Linked DNA regions of Arabidopsis thaliana. The protein of the gene in region 1 interacts with the protein of each later gene in a pairwise test. Each region holds a gene or a part of one and is shown on either strand. Other genes may lie near its edges.

Region 1 (5,103 bases):
TAGTTGCAGTATCTGATTTATGAATCAAATGATTCAATGTCTTGGCGGCAATTTCTTTACCATTTGGACTACCATTCTTTAGTAGCCATAAGAGAGCAGGGACAGCATCCGCACTTTCAACACAAGCACGTATATCTTCGCTATGATTGCACAAGTTCCTAAGGATAGTTGCAGAGTCTTCCCTGGCTTTGGCCGACCCAGTCTCTAGAATTTGAACAAGTGGAGGTATACCTCCAGCAGCAGTGATGGCCCACTTGCTTTCATCATTTTCGTTAGACAAAAGGCAAAGAAGTGCAACAGCACATTCTTGCTGCTGTTCGGATGAAAGACCCAAAAGAGATATTAGCAATTGGATCCCTTCACGGCCCTGTAGTGCTTGCCACAGGCTACCTTCATGGTTACACAGCATCAGAAGAGCCTTTACAAGCTCATCTTGAACCTCATTCACCGCCATCGTTATTAGACCAACAAGCAAACGTTTTGCATCCGAGTTGGAAAGTTTGACAGAGAGTATGGAATTCCCATACAAACTTGCAAGTGCTTCAATTGTACGTTCTTGCACCAAGAATGGTAGACGAGGCTTAAACTGCTTCAGCAGAGTCTGTTCAACGACCAATGGATCTGATGCTCTTGTAGTTTCTGCCTTGCCATCATATATCATCAATGCTGAAGCTAAAGCCCCAAGGGTGTCGGCAGTCTGAGCAGGCGAAGAGCAAGATTCAAGGCTCTGACCAAGGCTTGATATGACATATGACAAACCACCGGAAATATTAGCAAGGGCACACATTGCATTTTCTTGTAATGCTTGCGCATATTCACCTTGCATGAATTCTTTAGATGGAGCTATTGTTGCATTTATTAAAACAGGAATACCATTAGAATTAGCGATTTCCCGCTTTGCTTCCTTAGATTGAGCAGAAAGCGACTTGAGAGCAGCAGCAGCCTCTGCCCTCACTGGGGCTTCATTACCCGATCCTAATAATTTGAGAAGCTGTTTTGTAATGTCTGCAGTCAATACACTGGAACAAACAGAGGCGTCTTCCATCATCATACACGCAAGAAGGAAGCAGACATTAGATAGTGTACTTGACTGCCCGCTTGTGAGCAGCTTCACAAGTACATCCACTCCCCCAGCTCGAATTGTCTCAGACCAAAATCCCTCTGTGGTACTAGAAAGGTTCTTAAGTGCACCAGTTAACAAACCATCAACCTCTCCTTTTTTATTTCCACTGCGCAATTGGTCCCACAGAACCGGTACAACTCCCTCAGTGGAAAATATTTTTGATCCAACATGGTCTTTAACCCCACCTTCAGAAACAGCATAGATTGTCTTTGCTGCAGCGATCTGCCCTTCGACTGAACTGGACTTGAGAAGACCAAGCAATGGAGGAATGCATCCCCCAAGTAACACCTTAACTCTAAGTTCGTTCTCCTTGCAGAGTGAACCCAAGACGGTTGCAGCTTGTATCTTCACTCCAACTGATCCCGATCGGAGAAGAGAGACAAGTACTGGCACAGCTTGGGAGTGTGATCCGACAGCACTGAATGCATTCTCACGCATTTCTATAAGGTCCAGTAACTGCTTCAGACAATATTCTCTTTCTTGTGCAGATGATGAACCTTGGCGCAGCTGCTCAATGCATTGGGCAACACTTGCTAATGTCCCATCTGGATCTTCCATGCTGGTTGTCCGGTCTCTGCAGGGGATGGGGAAAGTTAGATACTAATTCGCTAATAGGTGTGCCTTTCTGCTTAAAATGTCTCATTTGAAAGGATAACATAGGAAACCAATCCAGATAATATTAATTTCCACAGGCATTGTTAAACCAAGATGGTGGTGCAACAAATACAGATAAAACCTCAATTTTATCACGATGATTAGCTCCCATGCAGTACCAAATACATATATGCGTTACCTCAAACTCATCTTTGTGGTTGAATGTGGAGTTGGGGGCTCTGAATCATGCATCTTCATATCCCCATTTCTCTCCTGCAATCAAGACCAAACAACAGAAAATAAGTTAAAAGAGCAACAAGACCTTTTCGCTCCTATGCAATGGAAAAACTATAACCTTTATCATGACACTCTATCAGATATAACTGACTGGTACAAAGCCATTAATTAACAATGGACTTAGCTCAAGTACTTTTTTCAAATCAGATTCAAAATGCAAGGGACATATCAGCTTAATCATCCTGCTAATACACCAGATCTGACTTTGCAACTCAGAAAGATTGCAGTATATCAACTAAACAAGCTTTTCCATAAACCCGTGTGATGAATGTTAATACTGAATCAAGTAATTATTACCGTGTCACTTGGGGCAAGGCCATTTCCATTAGTGGAAGGAAATCTCCATCCAAGAGCACTTGTCATATCTTCACTTCACTTAAAAAATTCTCAAATCAAAAGTAGACCCAGAGACCTTGCCCCCTACCCAGATCTACTCAAATCAGATCGTCAGAACATCAACAACACCCCCTGCATAATATATAAAAAGGATCAATCTTTACAATAGAAAACGATACAGTGAAGTAGGAAAAGCTCAATGCAATTATATTATAATTGAAGACTAATAGTATAAAAATATCACTCTACCTAACTGAATTCTACTACTGCTAAATCTCGATCCGAATCGTTTAACATTCCAGATTCGAACTAAAGCTAAATGAGGAAACTTTTTAACCAATAGGAACTCAAAAAACAGGATTCTTCAGATCTAGATCATAATTGGATCTCTATCAATGAAATCAAACACAAGAGATCCGATAATTCAAAAAGCATGCATTTAGACATTGATAGATCAAATTGAACTCACCTCAATGCAACAAGGAGAAGAAGATGAACAATCTGTTACGTAGAAGAGAAGCGAATAAGACGAGAGAAAGGAGAGAGGAGTGAGAGAGAGGTTTCTTCTTCTTCTTCGTCTGTGATTTTGACTCAACAAAGTATAAAGCGGGGGAGAGAGAGAGGGAAGAGAGAGAGCTGTGTGTGTGCTGGTGAGAGAGAGTGATCAGATTGGAGCCGGCTTTGTCCACCGACAGACAGCGAGTGGATTCACTTAGCGACTCGAGCCGGCTTGAGTCGGTTGTCGAGCCGACAGAACTAAACGACTCTTGTACAGCGAATGGTATACTTAATTGTTTTTTATTACTTTCTTTAATCAAAAATAAATGAGGAAATTGACTTTTAGCTGTGAATTAATTATTTACATCAAACATTTTTTTTGTTAACAAAAATTATATAACTGTTTTTTTCCAGCAATTAGCCAATTAGTAAACATTTTGGTTCATTTGTTCAAGCAAAATTTTACATTTTATAAATTTGATTAACCTTTTTATCCAAAACATCCGTAGAATTGAAACAATATAAGAAAAAATATTATACCACAAAAATTACACACACGAATAAAAATATTGTCTAATTTATTTCTCAGATAATAACTTAATTAGTTAATTGTCTCTAAGTTTAGATTATGTTACCAAATTATCACTCATGGGGTTATCTCGATTTTTTAGTGCAACACAGTCATTACAAATATTTATTTAATATTTTTCAAAAGGATATCAAAAATAAATTGTCTATTTTATTGTGTCATTTAACATGTTGAAGTAAGTTATGTAATAATCAAAAGTTATCTCTTACAAGATCAATCGGATAAACAATCAAGAAAAAATAATAAAATATACTGATGAATTAATAAAAAGAATAATAGTAAGATCTGCAGTAGTTGTTGTTATTGGTCCTATTATGTTGATTTGTTACCAAACTTGATTAATTAGCCCATAACAATGGCGATAGTAAAGGTTTCTATCTACCACCAATTGTCATCCACAACATAATCATCACGAATTCTATATATATGGACAAAAAGTATAATAACTATTTTTACGGCTTCCTTCACATCTAAATTATTTTCCATAATTGTTCAAAAATCGCGACAGCAGTTCTTTTCGTCTGAAAGTGAGAGAAGTCGGGGGAGCAAATTATAAGGATGGTAAAACATATAACGTGGGAGAGAAAAAGCACATGGCCTCATGGCTCATGAGAATCAAAGATTCTAAGTTTTAACTATTCTTTTGTTTTTTCCTCGACGCATGTTTTGTTTCTATCGACAACTATGCCCATAAAAGCATATGATATGCACAATTATGATAATCATATGAATGCACATGTGCTCTTTCTTCCTAGCCAATTATGATCATTGACGATCATCACTATACCATAAAAATGACTGGACAAAGTCATATTCTTTGATGCTTCTTGTCACAACTTGATACATCCACTTTCCCGAACCGTATAAAACCCAAGAAGCAAAATTCTCATATAGATCTCATAGATTCGTTCGAAATATGTTAAATTTGCATCGGATATAGAAGGTGAAGGCTGCGTCTCCGGCCGGTGAACCGTCGTTTTACTGATCTTGTTTCTATTATGTTCCGATTTGGACCACTTTTTTGTAACCCGTGAAATTCTTAGCCCATCTGTCAATAGACCGTTTGGAAATGAATATCTAAAAAAAAAAAAAAAGATGTGAAGTCCATATTTAATCAGTGCCCGGCATTGGAACGTAGTAAGTTTGAGGAAGCATCAACTTGTAGCCGTGAAATTAATATTATGGTTTTTAGTGGTTTTAATTTAGCGTGTCATAAGTGAGAGTAAAAGAACTCTTTGATATTTCATTTTCATACATATATAATTTACTTCAATATAATGGTTTGATGAGGGTCTTATCATACATTTGATTTTTTCTTTTATTTTAGTGTTACATTTTAACTTAATTCTTACGTACATCTTTTCTTAATAGACTATTTTCTCATTATTATTTTTGGTTTCTCTCTCTCATTTTTTACATTTTGATTTTGTTTGCAAAGATTTGAAAGTCATCTTTGCCAAAAAAAAAAAAAACCAAAAAAAAAAGATTTGAAAGTCATCATCTAGTCCTCTTGATGAGTAGATTGTCATTGTTTTTTTTGCTAAATTGTAAATATTTCATAGATAATGAAAACAGTTTAGGTTGTAAACATAGAATCTGAGACCTATAGATATGGTAATGGATCCAAGACAAAAAGAAATAAAAACATATAGACACTCCTCCTCTC
Region 2 (7,847 bases), on another chromosome or scaffold:
ATAAGAACATGTGGCACGAGGGCTTGGAGAAGACAGTACACAGCATTCAATCAATCATGAAAACGACATTTGATGTGGTAACCTACTAAAGTTCGATCTTTTTTTATGAAAGTTTCTTAATATTTCTTTAATTTCCGGACTATATCTATCAACAAGTCAAAAGATTAAAAAAAATCAACAAGCAAAATACTGTTAAAATATTGTTTTATATATACCACGAACTATTTGTCGGCAAATGTATACATATAGTATAGACATCATACATGGGCAAATCGCATATATTTGTGTGATGTGATACCATAGTCTCAATAATTTGAACATTTTTCTCTTATTTAAGCACGGAGGAAAAATTAGCTATATGGCGACTTGGCGAGTGGAGCCAAGATTAAAAAAAAAAAAAGCATGTTATTTAAAAATATGGTAGACATAACATACAAAAAAATATAGTAAAATAAACAGAACTGATTGAACAAAAGAGAGTGATCAAAGTTGAAAAATAATTTAACTATAAAAACTAAAAAGAAAATTATCAGAGGATGGAGATATTAAACTAATAAAAATGTAATTAAATAAGTAAACTATAAATTAAATAAGTAAAAAATTAAACGTAATTAGAAGGAACAAAAAAAACTAGAAAAGTAAAAACATAAGAGAGGAAGGAGGGAAGCAAAAGTGAAAACCAATGCAGTCAACAGTCAAAAACCATGATACAGTCCATGCGTAGAACATAATTAACTTAAGCAATAAATTTAATAAGTAAAAAATTAAACGTAATTAGAAGGAACAAAAAAAAAGTATATAAAAAATTAGAAGGAACAAAAAAAAAAACTAGAAAATAGGATCTTGGACACGATGCTTACAGATTGTTTTTTGTCTGGGAAGTAAATGCCCATATCTGTTTCTCGACATTTTGAAGTCTCTCTAACAAAATAATTAGAGGAATTAAGAACTTGATTGTGTAACTTTTTTTTTAATCTTAAATTAAGATAATACTATTTCATTACAACTATTATTTTCTTGCACATGTTGCAAGAACGTGAGAGTGTACGCAGACAAATAATTAAAACGAAAATAAAATTATAATGATTATATACAATCTCGGCTATCAATTGATTAATAGAGAAAATTGACTAACCACTCTGAATTGGCTCAAAATGTAGTTATTAATTCAAACCGAGTTTCACTTCATTTATATTATTTTCATTTTTTAACTTTAAAATATATATATTTAATAAACCAAATATGATCTAAACTAAATCTAAAAGGCTCCATCCAAAGTAGATTTGATTTTACTATATATTTAAAACATGTATGGTAGGAAAATTTAACCGAAACCAAATTAAACACATTTTAGGGTGAAGAAAATCACCCAAAAAAAAAAGGTGACTTTTTTTTGTAACAAAACAAAAGACCTAAAGTTTAGAGACAAAATAAAATGTTAGGGTGATTCAATGCATCACATAATACAGTATTGTTAATAATTAATGGCTAATAATAATGTGTGTTTGGAAGTTTTTACTAATCTCTTCTTTACAACAACAAGTGGAGTGGAAGAGAGAGATACACACAAGGTTTAATGGGTCCCACATTCTTTTACTTCTCAAAATTTAATTACTAATTTTATCTAATTTTGGTGCTCTTTTTCCTCATCTACATAATTGCCTTTAATTATCTCACACCATTTAACTAATCACTGATTCTCTTCTTCCTTACGCGTTTGTACTTAACCCCCTTTTATCATCATTTCGCAGGCTTGCGTCTGTCTCTCTCTCTCTCTCCACCATTGACTCTCTCTCTCTCTCTCGCTCTGGAATCATCCTTTATTTCTGTGACTGTGTGCACTTTCAGAGAGGAGAGAGAGGCCCAAAACCAAAAGAAAAGAAAAGGTTGTGGCTTGCAGCTGAATCAATACCATCTCCATATATACAATACACCTTCACTATTCCCCCTTTTGTATTTTTATTATATTTTTCCCATCAAAGTCTGTTTTTTTAGACTCCGGTTTGCCGCTTTGTGTGTGTGTGAGAGAGAGAAAGAGAGCTATCTATCCTCTGATTTATGGTCTCTGGATCTCTGACAATCGAGTTGAGTTAATTACAACACATTCCTCTCTTTCTCAATCGATCTGTGAAATCCAAGATTGTTAGCTGTGTCTGTTTTCAGACAAATATGAACACCGGTGGTCGGTTAATCGCCGGTTCTCACAACAGGAATGAGTTTGTCCTCATTAATGCCGATGAGAATGCCCGAGTATGTTTCTCCTCTTCTTTTGTTTCCAATTCTCTGTCTTTTGATCTGTGTTTCTCTATCTCTGTTCAAAAGTCTCTGACTTTTTTTACTTTTCTTGTGGATCTGGCTCTTACCACTGCAAATCAATTAAGATTTAGGGTTTTTAGTACTAGTATTAAGATTACGTACCCTTGTAGCTAATTTTATCAAGAATTGATTGTGTCGGTGGGATGGATTTTTCCGGATTTGACTTGTCTTAATTCTCCAATTTAAGAGATTTCTTCAATTGCAATTATGAATCTATCAATGTGAAGAGTAATAATTATGTTATTGGGTTACTTTGATCTGGTGTGAGATCCAGTCTGATAGTGTCACTACTATGATCTGATGTATTTAACTCTACTGTTTTGTGCAGATAAGATCAGTCCAAGAGCTGAGTGGACAGACATGTCAAATCTGCAGAGATGAGATCGAATTGACTGTTGATGGAGAACCGTTTGTGGCATGTAACGAATGTGCATTCCCTGTGTGTAGACCTTGCTATGAGTACGAAAGACGAGAAGGCAATCAAGCTTGTCCACAGTGCAAAACCCGTTTCAAACGTCTTAAAGGTTCGTTGTTTGTTAGACCAAATTTCTTTGGTTTTTTGTGAATGTAGAAGATTTTCTGATTTGTTCGGCCTATGTTGTTGTTTGTTAGGAAGTCCAAGAGTTGAAGGTGATGAAGAGGAAGATGACATTGATGATTTAGACAATGAGTTTGAGTATGGAAATAATGGGATTGGATTTGATCAGGTTTCTGAAGGTATGTCAATCTCTCGTCGCAACTCCGGTTTCCCACAATCTGATTTGGATTCAGCTCCACCTGGCTCTCAGATTCCATTGCTGACTTACGGCGACGAGGTAAAAATCTCAGAATGTATCCACATTGTATAACCCATCTTCAGTAATTGGCTCACTCAGATTTCTCTTTTGTTTTATTACAGGACGTTGAGATTTCTTCTGATAGACATGCTCTTATTGTTCCTCCTTCACTTGGTGGTCATGGCAATAGAGTTCATCCTGTTTCTCTTTCTGACCCGACCGTGGCTGCACATCCAAGGCCTATGGTACCTCAGAAAGATCTTGCGGTTTATGGTTATGGAAGTGTCGCTTGGAAAGATCGGATGGAGGAATGGAAGAGAAAGCAGAATGAGAAACTTCAGGTTGTTAGGCATGAAGGAGATCCTGATTTTGAAGATGGTGATGATGCTGATTTTCCAATGTAAGGCAAAGAATATAATTTTTTTTGTTGATGTCTTGTTCCGTTGCAGTGATATTTATCAAGCCTTTTTTTTCCATTTTAGGATGGATGAGGGAAGGCAGCCATTGTCTAGGAAGATACCAATCAAATCGAGCAAGATAAATCCTTACCGGATGTTAATTGTGCTACGTCTTGTGATTCTTGGTCTCTTCTTTCACTACCGTATTCTTCACCCCGTCAAAGATGCATATGCTTTGTGGCTTATTTCTGTTATATGTGAGATATGGTTTGCTGTTTCATGGGTTCTTGATCAGTTCCCTAAATGGTACCCTATCGAGCGAGAAACGTACTTGGACCGACTCTCATTAAGGTACTTACATCTTGTGGGTTATTACACTTGGAAATGTTAAAACTTTGTTTTGGGGATATAATCCTTATTTTTTTTGTTTGCAGATATGAGAAAGAAGGGAAACCGTCGGGACTATCCCCTGTGGATGTATTTGTTAGTACAGTGGATCCATTGAAAGAGCCTCCGCTTATTACTGCAAATACTGTCTTGTCTATTCTTGCTGTTGATTATCCTGTCGATAAGGTTGCTTGTTACGTATCTGATGATGGTGCTGCTATGCTTACTTTCGAAGCTCTTTCTGAGACCGCTGAATTCGCAAGGAAATGGGTTCCTTTCTGCAAGAAATATTGTATTGAGCCTCGTGCTCCCGAATGGTATTTCTGCCATAAAATGGACTACTTGAAGAATAAAGTTCATCCCGCATTTGTTAGGGAGCGGCGAGCCATGAAGGTTACTAGTTCTTACTTTTTTATAAATTTGATTTGATGAGAAAAGTTTTGGTCTAATTGATTCTTGCTTTAGAAAAAAAAAATTCATGAGAAAAGTTATCAATCTTTTGTTATATGGGCTCTTATGAAAGAAGATGGTGGCTTTGAAAATTGATTTGAAAGATTGTGTGTTTTACTGGTTTTGACAGAGAGATTATGAAGAATTCAAAGTAAAGATCAATGCTTTAGTAGCAACAGCACAGAAAGTGCCTGAGGATGGTTGGACTATGCAAGACGGTACACCTTGGCCCGGTAATAGTGTGCGAGATCATCCTGGCATGATTCAGGTGAGTTTCAAATGCTTCTTATTTCTGAAAAGCCTTCTTATGTGTTGTCCTTCAAAATTTAATTATACTTTGTTTTCTTGTTAAAGGTCTTCCTTGGAAGTGACGGTGTTCGTGATGTCGAAAACAACGAGTTGCCTCGATTAGTTTACGTTTCTCGTGAGAAGAGACCCGGATTTGATCACCATAAGAAGGCTGGAGCTATGAATTCCCTGGTAAATGATATACTTTTTAAAGCTCTAAACCTTCTTCTTTGTAAATTACGTCTTGCCATTTATTGAAATGGTTCCTGACTCTTGATTTCATCTACAAAACTTTTGTTGAAGATACGAGTCTCTGGGGTTCTATCAAATGCTCCTTACCTTCTGAATGTCGATTGTGATCACTACATCAACAATAGCAAAGCTCTTAGAGAAGCAATGTGTTTCATGATGGATCCTCAGTCAGGAAAGAAAATCTGTTATGTTCAGTTCCCTCAAAGGTTCGATGGGATTGATAGGCACGATCGATACTCAAATCGCAATGTTGTGTTCTTTGATGTAAGTACAGCCACCACTTTCCTATTGTATCCCTTTTTCTTGAGATTTCTGTAGAATACCAACTAATGAATCTTTATTTACAGATCAATATGAAAGGTTTGGATGGGCTACAAGGGCCTATATACGTCGGTACAGGTTGTGTTTTCAGGAGGCAAGCGCTTTACGGATTTGATGCACCGAAGAAGAAGAAGGGCCCACGTAAGACATGCAATTGCTGGCCAAAATGGTGTCTCCTATGTTTTGGTTCAAGAAAGAATCGTAAAGCAAAGACAGTGGCTGCGGATAAGAAGAAGAAGAATAGGGAAGCGTCAAAGCAGATCCACGCATTAGAAAATATCGAAGAGGGCCGCGTCACTAAAGGTATCATACAAATCCTGTTTGTTGTTAAACTCTTTCGTTAGTCGGTGCATTTTACTAAAAAAATAAAATTTAAAAAACATTCTAGGTTCTAACGTAGAACAGTCAACCGAGGCAATGCAAATGAAGTTGGAGAAGAAATTTGGGCAGTCTCCTGTATTTGTTGCATCTGCGCGTATGGAGAATGGTGGGATGGCTAGAAACGCAAGCCCGGCTTGTCTGCTTAAAGAAGCCATCCAAGTCATTAGTTGCGGATATGAAGATAAAACTGAATGGGGAAAAGAGGTAAGCAGCCGGTTTTAAACCTTTGTTGTGTTTATTCAATCAATTCTTGATTTTGATGATGACCTTGTGAAAAAAATCTCAGATTGGGTGGATCTATGGTTCTGTTACCGAAGATATTCTTACGGGTTTTAAGATGCATTCTCATGGTTGGAGATCTGTTTATTGTACACCAAAGTTAGCGGCTTTCAAAGGATCAGCTCCAATCAATCTTTCGGATCGTCTCCATCAAGTTCTTCGATGGGCGCTTGGGTCGGTTGAGATTTTCTTGAGTAGGCATTGTCCTATTTGGTATGGTTATGGAGGTGGGTTGAAATGGCTTGAGCGGTTGTCCTACATTAACTCTGTGGTTTACCCGTGGACCTCTCTACCGCTCATCGTTTACTGTTCTCTCCCTGCCATCTGTCTTCTCACTGGAAAATTCATCGTTCCCGAGGTAAAACAATCATCTTGAGTTCTCAAAATATGAATCTTTATTTCACGTTTTGTGCTTATTCATTTTCCTTGCCACTGGGGGTTAAAAGTATCATATGAATCTTTATTCCAAGTTGTGTGTTTTAAGACCGGAAAACGATTCTTGTTCCTTCTTTTTCCAGATTAGCAACTATGCGAGTATCCTCTTCATGGCGCTCTTCTCGTCGATTGCAATAACGGGTATTCTCGAGATGCAATGGGGCAAAGTTGGGATCGATGATTGGTGGAGAAACGAACAGTTTTGGGTCATTGGAGGTGTTTCTGCGCATCTGTTTGCTCTCTTCCAAGGTCTCCTCAAGGTTCTTGCTGGTGTCGACACTAACTTCACAGTCACATCAAAAGCAGCTGATGATGGAGAGTTCTCTGACCTTTACCTCTTCAAATGGACTTCACTTCTCATCCCTCCAATGACTCTACTCATCATAAACGTCATTGGAGTCATAGTCGGAGTCTCTGATGCCATCAGCAATGGATACGACTCGTGGGGACCGCTTTTCGGAAGACTGTTCTTTGCACTTTGGGTCATCATTCATCTTTACCCGTTCCTTAAAGGTTTGCTTGGGAAACAAGATAGAATGCCAACCATTATTGTCGTCTGGTCCATCCTCCTGGCCTCGATTCTTACACTTCTTTGGGTCCGGGTTAATCCGTTTGTGGCGAAAGGCGGTCCTATTCTCGAGATCTGTGGTTTAGACTGCTTGTGATTCGATTGACCGGTGGATGGGTTGGTGAAAAAGGTTTAATTCCCACGGATCAAAGAGAGGTAAGAGAGATATTGTTTTACCTCTAAAAGACTCCTTCATTGTGTTCATTAGATGATGAAAAATGAAAAGAAAAAGAAGATTTAATTTTGTTACGAGAATTGTTATTTTTGCAAGAATGTGTTGTAGATATAGAGATGAAGAAGAAAGTTGTTGTCTATTTGTTTTGTTCTTTGGTGGTGAGAGAAAAAAGATTTGTCAAATTATTCTTTAATTGAATATTTCTGATCTCTTTTGAATATTACAGAAGAGCATTTTCAATCTGTAATCTTTTATGATTAAAGAACTTTGATTTATTTTCACTAATTTCCCTATCTTATTTCTTGTTTGAAAAATTAATTTACTCGAGGTTTGATTGGTTTTGATTTTCAATCCGCATGCTTGGAGACGTTTTAAAGCATCCATTAAAAATGTTACCAAACCTTAGAAAATTACGAACTTGATCAGAGTGGCCCAAAACAAATTATACAGGCCCAATACAGGCCCGAATCTACACAGCCTTTTACACTTTTATTGGTTCTGTTTTGACAAGTGACATGGTGCTTTCATCATATCTGCAGAGGGCAGCACTCAGATTGGTTAGTCTTTTTGGTTAGAGAATTTTGAAAACTTTTTTGTTTCTCATTTGTAAGTGTCACTACGCAAAGTAATTTAATATTTTTGTATCGTTCTAGTTTTATTAAAATGTCTACACATAGATACCAGAAAGAGGACTTTAATTTCGAGTCATTTTTGAAATAAAAGTTTCTAATTTTGTCACATTTCAGCAAAAATACTCGTGTGTATATGTAATGTCTACTGTTCCTTTGGCGGCTGAAATAAAAATGTGGGTAGTACGTAAG

Evidence for each region.
Region 2: the proteins of CSI1 (region 1) and CESA6 interact in a two-hybrid assay, tested with the Arabidopsis thaliana proteins (one study listed by BioGRID).

What each region holds. Positions count from the first base shown.
Region 1 is NC_003071.7:9,404,067-9,409,169, reverse strand, and holds the start of CSI1 (binding protein), read right to left. Parts: upstream 3,112-5,103; 5' UTR 2,820-3,111; intron 2,483-2,819; 5' UTR 2,378-2,482; coding exon 2,312-2,377; intron 1,991-2,311; coding exon 1,917-1,990; intron 1,698-1,916; coding exon 1-1,697.
Region 2 is NC_003076.8:25,879,386-25,887,232, forward strand, and holds CESA6 (cellulose synthase 6), read left to right. Parts: upstream 1-1,647; 5' UTR 1,648-2,169; coding exon 2,170-2,250; intron 2,251-2,644; coding exon 2,645-2,840; intron 2,841-2,928; coding exon 2,929-3,131; intron 3,132-3,214; coding exon 3,215-3,492; intron 3,493-3,574; coding exon 3,575-3,841; intron 3,842-3,924; coding exon 3,925-4,270; intron 4,271-4,457; coding exon 4,458-4,595; intron 4,596-4,681; coding exon 4,682-4,807; intron 4,808-4,918; coding exon 4,919-5,131; intron 5,132-5,214; coding exon 5,215-5,491; intron 5,492-5,576; coding exon 5,577-5,773; intron 5,774-5,855; coding exon 5,856-6,206; intron 6,207-6,366; coding exon 6,367-6,948; 3' UTR 6,949-7,343; downstream 7,344-7,847. UniProt on the Arabidopsis thaliana protein: Catalytic subunit of cellulose synthase terminal complexes ('rosettes'), required for beta-1,4-glucan microfibril crystallization, a major mechanism of the cell wall formation. Involved in the primary cell wall formation.